2 linked regions of the Pelodiscus sinensis genome follow. The protein of the gene in region 2 interacts with the protein of the main gene of each other region in a biochemical or structural test. Links are inferred from orthologs where the notes say so. Each region holds a gene or a part of one and is shown on either strand. Other genes may lie near its edges.

What was found. The genes of interacting proteins can lie anywhere in the genome.
Region 1: the proteins of LRRK1 (region 2) and PDCD4 form a complex in vitro, tested with the Homo sapiens proteins (2 studies listed by BioGRID and IntAct, with this or other methods). The link is inferred for Pelodiscus sinensis from reciprocal best matches to the Homo sapiens genes LRRK1 and PDCD4.

The regions. Positions count from the first base shown.
Region 1 is NC_134718.1:66,934,851-66,938,596, forward strand, and holds the start of PDCD4 (programmed cell death protein 4), read right to left. Parts: upstream 2,376-3,746; 5' UTR 2,220-2,375; intron 1-2,219. UniProt on the Homo sapiens protein: Inhibits translation initiation and cap-dependent translation. May excert its function by hindering the interaction between EIF4A1 and EIF4G. Inhibits the helicase activity of EIF4A. Modulates the activation of JUN kinase.
Region 2 is NC_134724.1:7,440,525-7,444,270, forward strand, and holds the start of LRRK1 (leucine-rich repeat serine/threonine-protein kinase 1), read right to left. Parts: upstream 2,522-3,746; 5' UTR 2,366-2,521; intron 2,228-2,365; exon of another isoform or gene 1,986-2,227; intron 1,411-1,985; exon of another isoform or gene 1,278-1,410; intron 7-1,277; 5' UTR 1-6.

The DNA of each region.
Region 1 (3,746 bases), on a different chromosome or scaffold from region 2:
ATTGTTTAGTTAAGGGTTTTTTTATTATTTATATTATGGCAGAACAATGAACTTCAATCAAAGAGCAAGTATTCATTGTGCTTGACTCTACATGAAAAAACACGGAAGTCCCTGCTCTGGAGAGCTCACTATCTGGGGGTAGACAAGATAACAGGTGTACATAAGCGGGGGGGGGGGGGGGGAGAATAAAATAAAAGAATTTGCAGAATATTGTAAAATACTGCAAATTCAAAAAAGGATCCTGGGGCCTTTGTTTTGGAAAGAGGTGTGATTTTTAGTTTTTTTCTCAACTCCATTACTTTCTCTGGTTTCTGATGGACAAGGAGCTTTTCTGGATCATTCTCAGTCCTGCATGTTTGAATGAGATATTTCTATATATGTAGGTATTTACACTACACTCATGGTCAAGTAAGTATCTCATGATCACCTTCAACCAAAAATTTCTAGATTGAAAAATCTTTGAGCATGCATTCACTTTTCGAACTGTATTTCCACCTTACCCAACTTCAAGTAAAGGTTCTAATCCTTAATGCCATACAATGTTTTTAAAACTTCAGCCACTGTGATGCAGTCACATTTAAAAAGAAGCAAAGAAATGTGGCTTGAACTTCCCATGATTTTTCTCCCTTTCAGTAGAGGCCAAGTAAGACAATCTACAGCCTGAAATGTTCATATTTCCAGTTTGTGGACTTGTGAAAACAGCATCACAGCAGAATTTGTTTGTGGCCATGTGCTGCTCACCATGGTACTGTAAAAGGATCAGTTTCCATCTGATGTTTACATGTATATACACACTCTTTTACAGCACAGAATGCTCTATATAAATGCTCAGTGCTAGTTTTATATGAGTGTATAAACAGCCTCAAACATTATTCAGAAAAGATTAAACATACACCAAACCTCCACACACAGGTCTTAAAGCACACACTTTAAAGTATCAGAAATAACAACGGAAGTGGTTTTAATACAGATGTGGCAAGTCAGTTTTGTTTTTAAAGGTGCAGCTTTACAAGAAAGAAAGTGACTTTACAGCTTGGTGGGGGGTCAAAATATAAACCTTTTGCCAAGGTACTAACACCCTAAAAGTAGGAACCGGCAGCTTTCCTATACAGAAGTAAAGCAGGCTCCCTCCTCCCCGATAACCACTTCAATCCTAGCGCTGTTTGGGGACAGCCCGGCTGTCACTGTATCCTCACCCAGCCAGACTGGGGACCAGAGTGTCACCCCTTCCCCACAAATGCCAGCGATGGCATCCTTAGGCTGAAGACCAGGCGCTGCTCCGCAGAAGGGGCTTTTAACTGGGGGACGGAAGAAGGGAGGGGGAAAGACCCCACACCACCATCCGCCCCCGCTGGGGGGTAGGGAGGAGAGGGGGCATGAAGAATCCCCCACCCCCATTCCCTGCAGGGGGGGGCACCAACCCCACCAAGGACCCCATCCCCTCACCCCGCAAAGGGGGGCACCCCCAAGGACTCCACCCCACAGAGGGGGGACACCCCCAAGGACCCCACGCCCTCACCCCACAGAGGGGGGGCACCCCCAAGGACCCCACCCCGCAGAGGGGGGGACCCCCAAGGACCCCATCCCCTCACCCCACAAAAGGGGGGCACCCCCAAGGACTCCATCCCACAGAGGGGGGGCACCCCCAAGGATCCCATCCCCTCACCCCACAAAAGGGGGGCACCCCCAAGGACTCCACCCCACAGAGGGGGGACACCCCCAAGGACCCCACGCCCTCACCCCACAGAGGGGGGGCACCCCCAAGGACCCCACCCCGCAGAGGGGGGACCCCCAAGGACCCCATCCCCTCACCCCACAAAAGGGGGGCACCCCCAAGGACTCCACCCCACAGAGGGGGGCACCCCCAAGGATCCCATCCCCTCACCCTGCAGAGGGGGGGCACCAACCCCACCAAGGACCCCACCCCCTCACCCCACAGAGGGGGGCACCCCCAAGGACTCCACCCCACAGAGGGGGGCACCCCCAGGGACCCCACCCCCTCACCCCGAAGAGGGGGGGCACACCAAGGATGCGCCCGGCTCCCGGGGGGGCACATCCCTGAGGAGAGCTGGTAAGGACCCCACACGCCCCCCGGCCAGGAGGGTCGTGGAGCCCAGACCCTCCCCCCCCGGGGGGGATCCCACGAATTTCCCGCCTGAGGAGGCTCCTGGGGAGGGGCGAGGAGCCCCCTGCGCGCGGGGGGGCGGGGCTCCCGTTACCGTAGGCAGCAGCGGTCCCCGCCGCTCCGCTCCCCACAGCCGCCGCCGGCCTCGCGCTGCCCCCTGCGCTGCCCTGTTTGTTTTTGTTTTGTTCTGCCCAGCGACACGGCCGCGAGCGGCCGCCGCCGATTGGCCGGCTCGCGCCACCCGCCGCAGCCAATCACAGGGCGAAGGGGGCGGGGCAGGGGCGGAAGGGAAGGTGTGTGCTCAACCGGCCAGGAGGGAGGGCGACACCATGCGCTGGGAAGTGGGTGTGTTCGGCAGGGAAGGCATAGGAAGGAACCATTGGATGGTGCGGGGAGGAGGGGCCCGGGTGATCCAACACACTGGCTGGAGAGAGGGAGGGGTGAACAAACTCCCCAGGCCTCTTAAGAGGAGACGTATACAGGGCAGGGGGGGAGGGGTCTTTGCTGCCCTCTAGGGCCCAGTGCAGTGGTGGGAGGAGGTCCCAAAGTGCTATGCGCAGGAGGTATTGGGACTCAAATTGCATCCCTAGATTATGCCACCCAGCACTTTCTACGGGGCTGGTCTAAACGAGCTTAGGGCAGCAGGAACCTATGTTGCTGGTAGCCAAATGTCCATGCATTCTGCCACCCTCCAACCTCTTTAAAGGGGAGGGCGTTCAGCACTCGATCAGCCAGCTAGGGTTGCCAGATGGTTTCAACAAAAATACCGGACACACTTGACGTTACATCACCATCGACATTACATCTTAGTTAGAAAACTAGCCAATTGGCCCGTCATAAGACGGGATTTTCAGGTCTCTCCTGAGCCTCCGGTCTCTCGTTCCGTCTCTCTCTCTCTCTCTCTCTCTCTCCTCCTCCTCCTACTGCCTCACCCTCTCTCTCTTTCAGCTCTCCTCCCCCTCCTGCTTTTCACTCGGGGGACCGTGGAGCCCAAATGGCCGTTTGGGCTTCGTACTCCCCGTGCTGCATGGGGGGCATGGAGCCCAAATGGCCGCTTGCGCCACTTGCTCCCACAAGGCGGCCTGGCTGACCAGCGCAGAAGTCAGCCGAGCGCCACGGCGGGAGGTGAAAGGGGGCGGGGCGGTGACATTCACGGGCAGGGGGCAGGGCCTGGAGCTGCTGTCACGCCGCACGTCACCGCCCCACCCCCCTTCGCCTCCCACTGTGGTGCTCGGCTGACTTCTGCGCCGCTCAGCCGGGCCACCGTGAGGGAGCAAATGGTGCAAGAGGCCGTTTGGGCCCTGCACTCCCCATGCAGCACGGGCCACCCAGAGGGAACAGCCAGCATTTCAGGCAACAGCGCCCCCCAGAGGGAACAGCCAGCATTTTGGCGTTACAGACTCTCAGACACTGGGCTACTATATATATGATACCAGACATTTATATTTTCTCAATTTGTTTCCCGAACAGAAAGCTCAAATACTGGACTGTCCAGTTCAAAACCGGACACCTGGCAAATCTACAGTCAGCAAATGCTGGTTTGTTCATTCAGCACTATAAAATTTCTGGGGGCCAGCATATTCACCGGGGCCAGAGTCAGTCAAGTTGCATTCCCAAAGAG
Region 2 (3,746 bases):
GTACCTCTGTGCAGAAGAAAAAAATAGTGCCATGTTATTTCCACAGAATCAGAGGTCTGTCTAGTCTAGCTCCCTGCAACTTGCTAGCAGCCACTAATACCACTCATAACATTTAATAAAAGTAGACAGAGTGAAAAGTAAAGCACCATGTGCCTATTTAAATAATGACTGAAACATACAAAAAATAACAGAAGTTGGAACCAGAAGTGAGTTTGTATTCAATGTCAATCCTTTGCACCTACTGCATTCTCCATTGGATTTCCACCTTTCTCCTAATTCCCATGTGACTAAATCAATTGTCACAATACCATGACATTGCTCTGTATCTTTCAACTTAAATCACTCAGAAGACTTTTTAAAGTGCTCTTCAAGTGACATGTGTCAAAATGAGGAATCTACCTCAAGTTTTGGGAAAAGTGGTAATGCATTTGTACACTATTCCACAGGTCATAGCAGCAGAGACAGAGAAAGCTAATGGTCAGTGCAAGAACTCTTGGGTTCTGTTCCCCCTCTGATATGCATTGTATGACCTTAGCAAATCACATAAATGTTGTATTCCTGAGTTTTCAAATCTGCAGTGTAGTTATATTATTTATCTACCTCCAGACATATAGTAACATTTGATTAATTACTATTTATGAAGCACTCTGAAGTGACCAGTGAGAGAGTTCTATATAGTGGAAAGTAAAGTAATAATAATATGCACACTATAAAAGTGAAGTGCTTCTATTCTGGAGCCGAAGGGTACGTCTACACAACACCCTTACCTCGAAATAAGCTACGCAATTTGCACTACGCAAATTGCATAGCTTATTTCATACTTATTTCGAAACAGCTTATTTTGAAATTTGTCGCTGTCTACACAGCACCAAATTTCAAAATAAAGCGCTATTACGAAATGTCCCTTAACCCTCATGCAATGAGGTTTACAGAGATGTCGGAATAGCGAGTCCATTATATTTCGATATAATGGGCTTACTCTTAAGACGTGGAATAGTTATTTCGGGATACTGAAATAGCTCCTCAGTATAGATGTAGCCTCAGAGTGCTTCCTGATGGCTGTTGGAATGGTTATTGAACAAAAGGAAGCTTTTCCTTAACCTACGTTAGCTTTATTTCCCTTCTACCACCAGCTTTCATGAAAAGACAACAGCTTCCTGCTTATGGCTTATTTAACCCAAACATTTCCTTTCCCAAACATTAGGCTCTATTAAAAAAAACCCAAACAACCCAAACATATCTATAGAAATGTTTTCTTTTCGTGATGCTCTTCTCACCTCTAATTTTTCCTGAGCAGCAGCTTGAGATGGACCCTGAGTTTGTAAACACATATTCATGTATTTAACTTTACTCACACAAGCAATCCCAGGGATACCAATGGAACTTTTACATGAGCAAAGTTAACCACATGCTTACATTACCATCAGAATAAATAGTTACAAATAAATTAGAGCTTTAACATTCTGATGAGAGCAGGTGAGGAAATGATTTCCCCTCTCCTGAAAAACTATTTTGGCAAAAAAAAAATCTTCAACTTATTTTTTTTTTAAACTTTAAAAAAAGTTGGGGGGAGGGTGTTTCAACAAAAAACCTGAAAACTTTCTACACCAATATTTTGTCATGAAAATGGACTTTGTCCAAAAAGCCACTTTCGCTGAAAATGGATATCACTGAAAAAATGGTCAACCAGCTCTAACTCTGCAGAACAAAGGTAAGACAAGGGGTTACCATCCCAACAGAGTCCCTTTGGCTGGGGATTGCCAAAGAGCAGCAGCAATGTGAGTTAGGTACCCGCTAATCATCCAAACCCACCCACTGCTCGGTTTTCCCATCCTGTTCCCTTGTTTTAGCCCTTTGCCCTCTTCACTCCCACGCGTTTTTCTTCTTCTTTGTCCCCCATCATTAGTGTGTGTCCTGGACTTAGCAAATCCTCCCCACAGGCTGGAGGAGGGTCCTTCGTGGACCCCGACAGGATCCAAACACACCTCGCCCAAGTGCCCGGCGCTGAGCAGCTCCAAGCCTCGAGAGGAACCTTGGGCTGCCCGGGGGAGTGACACCAGAGGGCTGGCAAAGTCAGGGGGCAGAGGGGGCCCTGGCAAGCAGCAGCCCCCCCCCCCGCCCCAGAACCAGGCGGGGGAACAAACACCCCTTTTCCCTAGAGCACCAGACCCTCCTTCCGCCAGCCCGCGCTCCACAAGGCTCCCGCCGGCAGGCAGGGGTGAGTCTGCGGCCCCCGGCCCGGGAGGGGGGCAGGGCCCGGGCCGTGCACCCCCGCGCTGGGGGCCCCGGCTAGCCCGGGGGGGGGGGCCTGCCACCCTCAGGCACAAGGGACGCGGCGGGGAGCCCCCCCGCCCAGCCCCGGTACCTCGCGCGCGGGGGGTCCCTGCCTCGGGAGCCTCTCGGTGGGGCGCGGAGCCGCCTCCTGCGCCGCCGGCCACCCGGGCTCGAGCTGGCGGCAGCGGCGCCGGAGCGGGCGGGAGGGCGCGGAACGGGGCGGGGCGCAGCCTGACAGGCCGGGGCACTTCCTCAATCCCGGGAGGGGCGGGGGGCGGGGAATGGGGAGGGGGGGCGGCAATGGGGTGTGTGGGGGGAGGGGAAGGGTGAAAGAGTGAGGGGAAGGGGAGGAGAAGGCGGAGTGGGGGTGGAAATGTGAGGGGGAGGAAAATGGGGATGGGGAGGAGAAAGGGAGGGGGAGGGGAGATGAGACGTGGGAGGGGGAGGAGAGATGGGTGAGAGTGGGGGTGGCAATGGGTTGTGTGAGGGGAGGGGAAGGGTGAAAGTGAGGGGAAGGGGAGGAGAAGGCGGAGTGGGAATGTGAGGGGGAGGAAAATGGGGATGGGGAGGAGAAGGGGAGGGGAGAGGGAGGGCACATGGGACATGGAGGTGGGAGGGGAAGGAGAGATGGGTGAGAGTGGGGGTGGCAATGGGTTGTGTGAGGGGAGGGGAAGGGTGAAAGTGAGAGGAAGGGGAGGAGAAGGCGGAGTGGGAGTGGGAATGTGAGGGAGAGGAAAATGGGGATGGGGAGGAGAAATGGAGGGGAGGGGAGGGAGAGGGGAGATGAGACATGGGAGTGGGAGGGGGAGGAGAGATGGGTGAGAGTGGGGGTGACAATGGGGTGTGTGGGGGGAGAGGAAGGGTGAAAGAGTGAGGGGAGGGGGAGGAAAATGGGGATGGGGAGGAGAAATCGAGGTGAGGGGGGAGGGGATGACAATGGGGTGTGTGAGGGGAGGAAAAAGGGGAGTGAGGATGGGGAGGTGAAATGGGAGAAGGGGAGGGGGTGAGAGAGCAGGGGTGTAAGGGGAGAGGGGAAGGGTGAAGGAGTGAGGAGAGGAGAAGAGAAAAGGGGACTGTGGGTGGAAATGTGAGAGGAGAGGGAGAATGGGGATGGGAAGGAGAAATAGGAGGGAGGACAGGGGAGGGGGGAAGAGAAATGAGAGGGGTGGGGTGAGTGCTATGGAAGTAGGTGAGAAGAGAACTGGCAGGAGGAGGAGGAGGAGAGAGGGGGGTGTGGGTAAAGGCCAGAGGAGAGCTGAAGGGAGGGGGAGGGCTAGGTGAAGGGTGTGGAAGGGGTGTGAGGAGTAAGGATGTTAAGAGGTGGGTAATCCACCAATCATGTAGTTAATAACATTTTTAATCAACTACAGGATTAGTCGATAAGGGAAGGCTTCCTCAGTTCTGGCTCACACTAGGTCCCAGACCTACTTGCTACGGCTCTGCTGTTTAAATGTAGTAGGAGCCAGGCTGCC